3 linked regions of the Saccharomyces cerevisiae S288C genome follow. The protein of the gene in region 2 purifies or fractionates together with the protein of the main gene of each other region. This does not show direct contact. Each region holds a gene or a part of one and is shown on either strand. Other genes may lie near its edges.

What was found. Proteins that work in one complex are often made in the same cells at the same time.
Region 1: the proteins of ENP1 (region 2) and HAS1 purify together in Saccharomyces cerevisiae (affinity purification with mass spectrometry; 5 studies listed by BioGRID, with this or other methods). This does not show direct contact.
Region 3: the proteins of ENP1 (region 2) and MPP10 purify together in Saccharomyces cerevisiae (affinity purification with mass spectrometry; 7 studies listed by BioGRID, with this or other methods). This does not show direct contact.

What each region holds. Positions count from the first base shown.
Region 1 is NC_001145.3:849,574-853,179, forward strand, and holds HAS1 (ATP-dependent RNA helicase HAS1), read right to left. Parts: upstream 2,019-3,606; coding exon 501-2,018; downstream 1-500. Other genes in the region: aminodeoxychorismate lyase ABZ2, read left to right, coding at 1-236; protein kinase TDA1, read left to right, coding at 3,057-3,606. UniProt on the Saccharomyces cerevisiae protein: ATP-dependent RNA helicase involved in 40S ribosomal subunit biogenesis. Required for the processing and cleavage of 35S pre-rRNA at sites A0, A1, and A2, leading to mature 18S rRNA.
Region 2 is NC_001134.8:712,454-716,199, reverse strand, and holds ENP1 (snoRNA-binding rRNA-processing protein ENP1), read left to right. Parts: upstream 1-1,744; coding exon 1,745-3,196; downstream 3,197-3,746. Other genes in the region: HIS7 (imidazoleglycerol-phosphate synthase), read left to right, coding at 1-1,393; RRT2 (diphthamide synthase), read right to left, coding at 3,446-3,746. UniProt on the Saccharomyces cerevisiae protein: Required for normal export of the pre-40S particles from the nucleus to the cytoplasm.
Region 3 is NC_001142.9:436,981-441,146, forward strand, and holds MPP10 (rRNA-processing protein MPP10), read left to right. Parts: upstream 1-1,884; coding exon 1,885-3,666; downstream 3,667-4,166. Other genes in the region: AVT1 (Avt1p), read left to right, coding at 1-1,630; MRX12 (Mrx12p), read right to left, coding at 4,014-4,166. UniProt on the Saccharomyces cerevisiae protein: Involved in nucleolar processing of pre-18S ribosomal RNA. Required for the early cleavages at sites A0, A1 and A2 during 18S ribosomal pre-RNA processing.

The DNA of each region.
Region 1 (3,606 bases), on a different chromosome or scaffold from region 2:
AAGGTTCAATAACAAACGTGGCTGTAATTCAAAAAGATCCTAACGGTTCTAAAAAGTATGTGACACCAAGATTAGCAACTGGATGTTTGTGCGGAACAATGCGTCATTATTTATTGCGGCTCGGCCTTATTGAAGAGGGAGATATAGATATAGGAAGCCTTACCGTTGGCAACGAAGTTTTGCTTTTCAATGGCGTCATGGGATGCATAAAGGGAACAGTGAAGACAAAATATTGAGCAGACGACAGATTTTCATATCAATGAAGTTTTTTTACAATAGTTTACAAATCATGATTTTACATACTCAAATATGTGCAGGTTGATACAGACAACGTACGTAGAAGACAACAAACAGAAAACAGCGGTTTATACATTTATTTAAATGACATACAGTGGAGAAGCAGAGAAAGGAAAAGGAGTGCGATGAGAACAGAAGATGAATACTTCGGTTGTGTTGGTTCCACGTACACATTAATAGCATTAAAAATTGATCCTCTGAAATTACTTATGAGTTTTACGTCTTTTGGTATTTGGCGTTTTTCCACTGGCACCAATTGTAATGTTAACCTTTGGAGGGACTGGAAAACCGTAAGACTTTGCTACTTTGGCTAAATCCAGCTTATCGATTTGATAGACAGTTTTCAAAGAGTGGGAAGCGTACGCTTGTAAATAAGATCTATAACCATCCTTGGCTGTTTGATGTAGATAATAGTTGGATTTAATTAATTTTTCTAATTGTGATTGAACGTTTGCAATTTTGTTTTCCGGGAATTCGTACTCATTTAATGGGACCTTGGAAGCCTTTAGATATCTTAAAAACCCTAATTCATTAGGTGTTAAAAACATTAAAGATTTACCCTTACCTTTAGTGCCTCTTGCGGTTCTTCCGACTCTATGAATATAATCTCTTGGATCATCAGGAGGGTCGAATTGAATGATCCAGTCCACAGCAGGGATATCTAGCCCTCTAGCTGCGACATCTGTACAAATCAAGATACCTCTTTCCGCATTACAGAATTCGAAAAATGTATTTGTTCTCTTTTGTTGTTTTTGCTTACCGTGTAATTCGAGGACTGGCAAATCAATATAGTTCAATAATTCAGCGTAATATTTCACAGAGTTACAAGATGATAAAAATACAATAATTTTCTTTTTTTGATTTCTTTTCAAGAAAGAAAATAACAACAAAAATCTCTTATCACTGTCACATACCACATAGCCTTGTTCTAATCCATCTGCGGTGGAGTTGTCGGTTTCAGGAACGACATTAATGAAAAGAGGGCCCGGTCTCAGCGAGATTCTAGCCAAATCCTCAACTTTGGTCGTTTGTGTAGCTGAAAATAACATGGATTGCCTATCTTCGTTTGGCAAGATCTTAATTATCTGCCTCATTTCATCTTCAAACCCAATTTCTAAGATTCTGTCCGCTTCATCGATAATCAAAGCCTTCAAGTTCTTGAATACAAATCCTTTTGTATTTTGTAAGTGATCCAATAATCTTCCAGGGGTAGCAATCAACATGTTAACACCTTTCATCAATTTTTCGGCTTCCTGTCTTCTATTTGCACCACCAATGACAATACCAAATGTCTGTGAATGGAATTCCATTAACTCTCTTGCCACTCCAAAAATCTGTAAAGCCAACTCTCTTGTAGGCGTAATGACAATTATACCGGTACCATTTCTTGGTTTGAATTTCAAAGAATGCAATAGTTCAATAGCAGGGATGAGAAACGCTAGAGTTTTACCAGAACCTGTCTTGGCAGCACCAAGAACATCCCTACCGGCCAAAAGAGGTGGGATAGTCCTTGCCTGAACAGAAGTCATAGTGGTAAATCCCATCTTTTCAATGGCCTTTAAAGTTGGCTGTGATAACTTTAGTTCTTCGAACTTTTCCACACAAGTAGTTTGTTCTCCCTCAGGTGCGGCATTGTTTTGTTTTGAAGTGCTCTTTTCATCTACTACAGGTTCTTCTGTAGATTCAGAATCTCTAGAACGTTTATTTGACGGGGTAGCCATACTTCTCCTGTTAATATTGCTCAGCTTATCTAATTATTATAGTATACAGTTATCCAATAGCTATGTACTCAAGTACCGTGTATACACTATAAAATCTCATCTCATCGCTAAAGCTAATATTGAAAAAAAAAAAAAAAAAAAAAAGAAAAAGCAAATAAAAAATTTTCAATTCGGGTAACGAAGAATCGACTCTCGCCGGGTAAACAATTCTTAGTCGTCATACACTCCTCTTTACGTTAAGAAAATAGAAGTAGCAGCGCTTTGTAAAGCATTAAAGCGTCATGGATTGCAAAATACACATAATATATCACTTGTGATAGTGAGAAATGGAATGAAGTGGTTTAAGATGCTCTTTTACCAATAAACATATTGCGCCTATCAAATCATTTTCCACCCCTGTTAACTGATACAGATATAGCCTTACATATAACTTTTGCACTCCCTAAAATTACCATGGCTGTTCACCGCCTGCTATCATCCATGTTTTTACATACATCTATTAGGTTTGCCATCTTAGCCGCCGAAGCTATCGTTGCCGGTACAGGCGCTCCTTGAATAACCCCCTCCCCCCCACGCTATTCTTCAAATTCCGATTTCAGCTTCTCTTTGTTTTTCCTTTTTTGGCACCTCGGAAAAACCTCCACGTGTTAGGTTATTCCGCCGATTCCACGGGTGGGGTGCTACCAAGACTCCTGAAAAAGAAACTGTATGACGAAAAGAAAAAAAAAAAGCTGCTTGAATTCCAACACCGCTTTCTTGTTCTGACAATAGAAAGGGGGATTCCTAAAAAAAGAAAAAGAGGGCGGGGTTTATCATGTACTCAGAATATGAAAACGTGTCGAACGGGGATGACTTCTTCTGCTTCTTTACTTCTTTCTATTTAGAGTGACAGTTTTTTTATTTGTTTTGCTAACTTGTTTATTTATTAATTTCTTGTTTGCTCCTTCAGTTACCTACCACGACTGTCTCAGCCAAACCGCGATATTTTCATACAATTGACATTACAACAGTTCAAAAAGAAAAATACACATCCAGGATATGACTACAGCTAGTTCTTCTGCTTCCCAGCTACAACAGCGCCTGCCGGAAGAAAAACCTTGGCCGCAACTGAGTGGCAGCAATGCAGACGCTCAAACCTTCAAATGTAAATACGTAACCAACCACAACTCCTTGGGCGATGGGAATTTTAGCGTCGTGAAAGAATGTATGAATATACACACAAAGGATTTGTACGCGATGAAGCTTATTAAGAAACAAACTGTCAAGAACAAAATTCAACTTATTCAAAGAGAGTTCGACCTTTTGAGGTCAATAAGCGAGAAAATCAGAGATATGGAAAAAAAGAATGAACATTCTTTGGACATTTTTGAGGGGCATCACCATATTTTACAACTTTTCGACTATTTTGAGACGGCAGATAACATTGTCCTGATCACTCAGCTGTGTCAGAAGGGAGATTTGTATGAAAAAATTGTTGAAAATCAGTGTTTAGACCTCGAAACTCAAGTTACCTCGTACTGCGCCTGTTTGGTGAGCGTTCTCGAGTTTTTGCATTCTCAAGGTATTGTTCATAGAGACTTGAAAGCAG
Region 2 (3,746 bases):
CTTTGCCGGTTCCGTGGAAAGCCCTAAGAGTACGGGTCTGAACTACATTGATTTTAAGTTGTCCAGGTTCGATGATTCAGAAAAGCCAGTACCAGAAATAGGTTGGAATTCTTGCATTCCCTCGGAAAACCTATTCTTTGGATTGGATCCATACAAGAGGTACTATTTCGTCCATTCTTTTGCTGCCATTCTGAATTCAGAAAAGAAAAAAAACCTAGAAAATGACGGTTGGAAAATTGCAAAAGCTAAGTACGGTTCAGAGGAATTTATTGCGGCAGTCAACAAGAATAATATATTCGCTACTCAGTTCCATCCTGAAAAATCAGGTAAAGCTGGTTTGAACGTCATTGAGAATTTTTTGAAGCAACAAAGTCCTCCGATTCCAAACTATAGTGCGGAAGAGAAGGAACTCTTAATGAATGACTATTCAAATTATGGTCTAACACGCAGAATTATTGCTTGTCTTGATGTACGTACTAATGACCAAGGTGATTTGGTGGTTACTAAAGGTGATCAATACGATGTACGTGAAAAAAGTGATGGTAAAGGTGTTAGAAACCTTGGTAAGCCTGTTCAGTTGGCACAGAAATATTACCAACAGGGTGCGGATGAAGTAACATTTTTGAATATAACTTCTTTTAGAGATTGTCCTTTGAAGGATACTCCGATGCTAGAGGTTCTGAAACAAGCCGCAAAGACAGTCTTTGTTCCATTGACAGTCGGTGGGGGGATCAAGGATATTGTCGATGTTGATGGAACCAAAATACCTGCTTTAGAAGTTGCAAGTCTATACTTCAGATCTGGTGCTGATAAAGTATCGATCGGTACGGATGCAGTCTATGCAGCCGAAAAATACTACGAGTTGGGTAACAGAGGAGATGGAACGTCACCAATAGAGACAATCTCGAAAGCATACGGTGCTCAGGCAGTTGTTATTTCTGTCGACCCTAAGAGAGTATATGTAAATTCACAAGCAGATACGAAGAACAAAGTCTTCGAGACAGAATATCCGGGCCCCAATGGAGAGAAATACTGCTGGTACCAATGTACAATCAAAGGTGGAAGAGAATCTAGAGACCTTGGTGTGTGGGAATTAACAAGGGCATGTGAAGCTCTAGGTGCTGGGGAGATTTTATTGAACTGCATAGACAAGGATGGCTCTAATTCTGGTTATGATCTGGAATTGATAGAACATGTTAAAGATGCGGTCAAGATTCCCGTCATTGCATCCAGTGGCGCCGGTGTACCCGAACATTTCGAAGAGGCCTTCCTAAAGACCCGCGCAGATGCTTGCTTGGGTGCAGGTATGTTCCACAGAGGTGAATTCACTGTTAACGATGTAAAGGAGTATTTACTAGAGCACGGATTAAAGGTTAGAATGGATGAAGAGTAATGTGGTTGGATATGTATACTTTATAATCTTGACTCAGTCTATATACGCAATAATGATAGATGTTAAATCAGACATTTCACAACACAAGAGGATGTACAGCTTGGAGAAATTGTACCAACTTATATGGTTGTATTATTGGTGGTGTCAGTAGGGGAAGAAATAGAACATATTTTTCCACTTTTTCATTTTTTTTTTTTAGCGAGGCATCGGAAATGAAAATTTTTAAAAATCGATGAGCTCCCACTTCTTCAACATTGACGAAAGGAAATATGCACTAAGTTGTTTTAAATCCAAGATTTGTCTCGTTTTAAGACTTACAGATAAAACAATATATTAGAAAGATTAACTATAATGGCCAGAGCATCCTCTACTAAAGCCAGAAAACAGAGGCATGATCCACTTTTAAAGGATTTAGATGCAGCTCAAGGTACCTTGAAAAAAATCAATAAAAAGAAGCTAGCGCAGAACGATGCTGCAAATCACGATGCTGCAAATGAGGAAGATGGATACATAGACTCCAAAGCATCAAGAAAAATTTTGCAGTTGGCCAAGGAACAACAGGATGAAATTGAAGGTGAGGAACTTGCTGAATCAGAAAGAAACAAGCAATTTGAAGCCAGATTCACCACCATGAGCTATGATGATGAAGACGAAGACGAAGACGAAGACGAAGAAGCTTTTGGAGAAGACATCTCCGATTTTGAACCCGAAGGTGATTATAAAGAAGAGGAAGAGATAGTTGAAATCGATGAAGAAGACGCAGCGATGTTTGAGCAATATTTCAAGAAATCAGATGATTTTAACTCTTTAAGTGGTAGCTATAATCTTGCAGACAAGATTATGGCCTCTATCCGAGAAAAGGAAAGTCAAGTTGAAGATATGCAAGATGATGAACCACTTGCTAATGAACAGAATACCTCAAGAGGCAATATTTCATCCGGTTTGAAGAGTGGAGAGGGTGTTGCACTTCCAGAGAAGGTCATCAAAGCATATACTACGGTAGGTAGTATTTTAAAAACTTGGACGCACGGTAAGTTGCCAAAGTTGTTCAAGGTTATCCCATCCTTAAGAAATTGGCAAGATGTCATTTATGTGACCAACCCGGAAGAATGGTCACCACACGTTGTTTACGAAGCAACGAAATTATTTGTATCCAACCTAACTGCTAAAGAATCTCAAAAATTTATTAACCTAATTTTACTTGAACGTTTCCGTGACAATATCGAGACCAGTGAAGACCACTCTTTAAACTATCATATATACCGTGCGGTGAAAAAATCGCTTTATAAACCAAGTGCCTTCTTCAAAGGTTTCCTATTCCCATTGGTTGAAACAGGGTGTAATGTACGTGAAGCGACAATTGCAGGAAGTGTGCTTGCTAAAGTCTCTGTTCCGGCTTTACATTCTTCAGCTGCCTTGAGTTATCTTTTAAGGCTACCTTTCTCTCCACCTACAACTGTTTTTATCAAAATATTGCTCGATAAAAAATATGCTTTACCGTACCAGACGGTGGACGACTGCGTGTATTACTTTATGAGGTTTAGAATTTTGGATGACGGTAGTAATGGGGAAGATGCTACAAGAGTACTCCCAGTGATATGGCACAAGGCTTTCTTAACATTTGCACAACGTTACAAGAACGATATTACCCAGGATCAGAGAGATTTCTTGTTGGAAACTGTTCGTCAAAGAGGCCATAAAGATATCGGTCCTGAGATTAGAAGAGAACTATTGGCAGGAGCCAGCAGGGAGTTTGTTGATCCACAGGAAGCTAATGATGATTTAATGATTGATGTCAATTGATGCTGTAATATCAATTTTTCATCAATTTTATATCGCTCGGTCTTTCCCCCTTTCAACAAAGCTTCTGAATCATGTATAATAAGTAGAAAATATAGAGTAAAAGATTATTGTTCAGGCAAGTTCCTTCCTATCAATTCTTTATGCATAATCTATCGAAATCATCAAAATATGGCCTATATATTAGCCTATATATTAGCCTATATATTAGCCTATATATTAGTCCATATATTGCAGACTGAATTTTTTTTTCTAAACTATCCATGTTTGCAAGGAATTATCATAAAATGAGCATGTTGCGATCAAAGAATTTGACCAGTCGCCACCGTAACACATCGAATCATGGCCCTTCTTCAGATAATGTTGAATTTGAAAATACTCATCGGAATTATCATTCATGGTCACCACCTTGGCACCATTGTACATGCAACAAACTAAAAGCCGATCGGAGCCGTTGTGGTGAGATTGTTCCTGATCAATGGGGGATTCAACAAATCTCCAAACACCGCCACCAAGATCACACGCCAATTTATTAACTGTGGGGACATTTGCA
Region 3 (4,166 bases), on a different chromosome or scaffold from region 2:
GGGAGTTAATTCTTTAAGTCGATTTGCGACTTCGTTGAGGAGAGCCAATTCGTTTCGTAATATCGAGCTAAATGCGGATAATGAAAGATCCTTTTTCAAAGAGAGTAACGATGAAACCTACGATCCGGATACTTTAGCACCAGCTTTGGACGGTAGAAGATTATCAGTAACTTTAAATAATGCTGGTCGCCCGCGCATTACTAATTTGGCTAACAACGATAGAGTTAGTACAGCCAGCATGGCTATTCACGATGATGATTATGGGTCCATCCAAAATTCAACAATTGGGGATTCTGGGTCAATATTACGCCCTACTGCCTCCTTAACAGAAATGATGAGTGGTGGAGCGGGGAGAAGGTTTACAAATAATGACATGGATTCAATTGTAGTGAAGAGAGTGGAGGGTGTAGATGGTAAGGTAGTAACTCTTCTTGCTGGTCAGTCGACCGCTCCACAGACCATATTCAACTCAATCAATGTACTGATTGGTATTGGGCTCCTGGCGTTACCTCTTGGTTTGAAATACGCCGGCTGGGTTATAGGACTTACTATGCTTGCAATCTTCGCCTTAGCGACATTTTGTACTGCTGAACTTTTGTCTAGGTGCCTAGATACAGATCCAACTTTGATATCTTACGCGGACTTGGGATATGCAGCATTTGGTACAAAAGGGCGCGCACTAATTTCTGCTCTTTTCACACTTGACCTACTGGGTAGTGGGGTGTCCTTGGTGATTCTCTTCGGAGATTCTTTAAATGCTCTATTTCCTCAATACTCCACCACTTTTTTCAAAATAGTTTCATTTTTTATCGTTACACCCCCGGTTTTTATACCATTGAGTGTTCTATCTAATATCTCGCTTCTGGGAATCCTTTCAACAACCGGAACTGTGCTAGTCATTTGCTGCTGCGGACTATACAAGTCGTCTTCTCCAGGTTCATTAGTTAATCCGATGGAAACGAGCATGTGGCCGATAGATCTAAAGCATCTCTGTTTATCTATAGGTTTATTGAGTGCCTGCTGGGGAGGACATGCGGTTTTTCCCAACTTAAAGACAGATATGAGGCATCCAGATAAATTTAAAGACTGTTTGAAAACTACCTATAAGATAACATCGGTTACGGACATAGGTACTGCAGTTATTGGCTTTTTGATGTTTGGAAATCTTGTTAAAGATGAAATTACTAAGAACGTTTTGCTGACGGAGGGATATCCAAAATTCGTTTATGGTCTGATTTCAGCGCTTATGACTATCATTCCTATCGCAAAGACCCCATTGAACGCAAGACCTATCGTTTCTGTATTGGACGTTCTGATGAATGTGCAACACATAGATGAAGCGGCCAGCGCCATAAAAAGAAGAGCTGCGAAAGGCCTTCAAGTATTCAATAGGATCTTTATTAATGTTGTCTTCGTTTTGATAGCTATTAATTTCCCTGAATTTGATAAGATTATCGCATTTCTGGGGGCCGGTTTGTGTTTTACAATTTGCCTAATTTTGCCGTGTTGGTTCTATTTAAGATTGTGCAAGACAACAATCAAACCATGGGAGAGAGTGGCTTGTCACGTAACCATATGTATTAGTGTCGTGTTGTCCACATTAGGTGTTGGTGCTGCAATTATTTCATAATCGACGAGGGGCATACTTACTCTACTTAAAATTCATTTACATTAGCTCTGTACTTCTGATAATGAAAAACCATTGCGTAATATACATATTTTCGTGTAGAATTATTTCCATAAAATATTCACCGCCTTTTCTGTACTGGCCGCCGGCATGCGAGGGAAGCAGAAAATTTTCAATTTTGCGATGAGCTCTTGAAGAAACAGTGTTTTGTTATGAATAAATGATGTGTGCACGAAAGACCCAAGGAAAGTCGTATAATGTCAGAACTCTTTGGAGTATTGAAATCTAATGCTGGCAGAATTATTTTGAAGGACCCCTCCGCCACTTCTAAAGATGTTAAAGCATATATAGATTCAGTTATCAATACCTGTAAGAATGGGAGTATTACAAAGAAAGCAGAACTGGACGAAATCACTGTTGATGGTTTAGACGCCAATCAAGTTTGGTGGCAGGTCAAACTAGTTCTTGATAGTATTGATGGTGATCTAATTCAAGGAATTCAAGAACTCAAAGATGTTGTCACGCCTTCTCACAATCTCTCTGATGGTAGCACCCTGAACTCATCATCCGGGGAAGAAAGTGAACTAGAGGAGGCAGAAAGTGTTTTTAAAGAAAAGCAGATGCTCTCTGCTGATGTTTCTGAGATTGAGGAGCAGAGTAATGATAGTCTTTCCGAGAACGATGAAGAACCTAGTATGGATGACGAAAAAACCAGTGCAGAGGCAGCTAGAGAAGAATTTGCGGAGGAAAAAAGAATTTCTTCTGGGCAAGATGAAAGGCATTCTTCACCCGATCCTTATGGTATCAATGATAAGTTTTTCGATCTCGAAAAGTTCAATAGGGATACTTTAGCTGCAGAAGATTCTAACGAAGCTTCTGAGGGGAGTGAGGATGAAGATATAGATTATTTTCAAGATATGCCTTCAGATGACGAGGAGGAGGAGGCTATTTATTATGAAGACTTTTTTGACAAACCCACAAAAGAACCTGTGAAGAAGCACTCTGACGTAAAAGATCCAAAAGAAGATGAAGAATTGGATGAAGAAGAGCATGATTCTGCCATGGATAAAGTGAAATTAGACTTATTTGCGGATGAGGAAGATGAACCGAATGCTGAGGGAGTGGGAGAAGCCAGTGACAAGAACTTATCTAGTTTCGAAAAGCAACAAATAGAGATTAGAAAACAGATAGAACAATTGGAAAACGAAGCGGTTGCCGAGAAGAAATGGTCTTTGAAGGGTGAAGTAAAGGCAAAGGATCGTCCCGAAGATGCATTGCTCACTGAGGAACTTGAATTCGACAGAACTGCAAAGCCTGTTCCTGTTATAACAAGTGAGGTCACAGAATCATTAGAAGATATGATTAGACGAAGGATACAGGACAGTAACTTTGACGACCTTCAAAGAAGAACCCTGTTAGACATCACACGTAAGTCTCAACGGCCTCAATTTGAATTGAGTGATGTTAAATCCTCGAAGTCGTTAGCAGAAATATATGAGGATGACTACACACGCGCTGAAGATGAATCTGCATTAAGTGAAGAGCTTCAAAAGGCACATTCCGAAATATCAGAACTTTATGCTAACTTGGTATATAAATTGGATGTGCTTTCATCAGTGCACTTCGTTCCTAAGCCAGCAAGTACTTCTTTGGAAATTAGAGTTGAAACACCCACTATATCGATGGAGGATGCTCAACCTCTCTATATGTCGAATGCCTCTTCTTTGGCTCCTCAAGAGATATACAATGTCGGTAAAGCAGAAAAGGACGGAGAAATTCGCTTGAAGAATGGTGTTGCAATGTCTAAGGAAGAATTAACCAGAGAAGATAAAAACAGATTGCGCAGGGCTTTGAAAAGAAAAAGATCGAAAGCTAATTTGCCAAATGTAAACAAAAGATCTAAAAGGAATGATGTTGTTGACACTTTGTCAAAAGCCAAGAATATTACTGTTATCAATCAAAAGGGTGAAAAGAAAGATGTTTCCGGTAAAACGAAGAAGAGCAGATCAGGGCCAGATAGCACAAATATAAAACTTTGAACACGCCGAAGAAGACTTAGTTTGTATTTAGGTAAAAAATTATTTCTTCATAACTCTGTTCACCCAGCATTTTTTATGGAATATCGACCTTGTAATGTCATTAACCCCTTAAAGGACCACTTAAAGAAAATGAAGTGCATCATGAAATATTCATGACGAGATGCGGAACATATACACTCATAAATACCAGAAGAATGTGCTGAATAATTTTTTGTTGGTAATTGGCTGTCATTTAAAGTATCGTTGAAACAAGAGGTATTGGAAGATAGCTAATTTTAGTATTATTTATGACGTTCTTTCCTGGATAAATGTAGATGTATATACGTAATAAAATGTTAATTAGTAAGTTATATGCTTTCCATATAATGTTCTATCTTAGTCTGCATAACTTGTTTGCTTGTTTTTGTTTCTAACGCTTCTCCATACTGGGCTAAGAGATTTTTTATTTTTTTTGCAGCAGTCGGCCCTGATATCAGCTTTTCTCCTAGTGCGCCATCAAA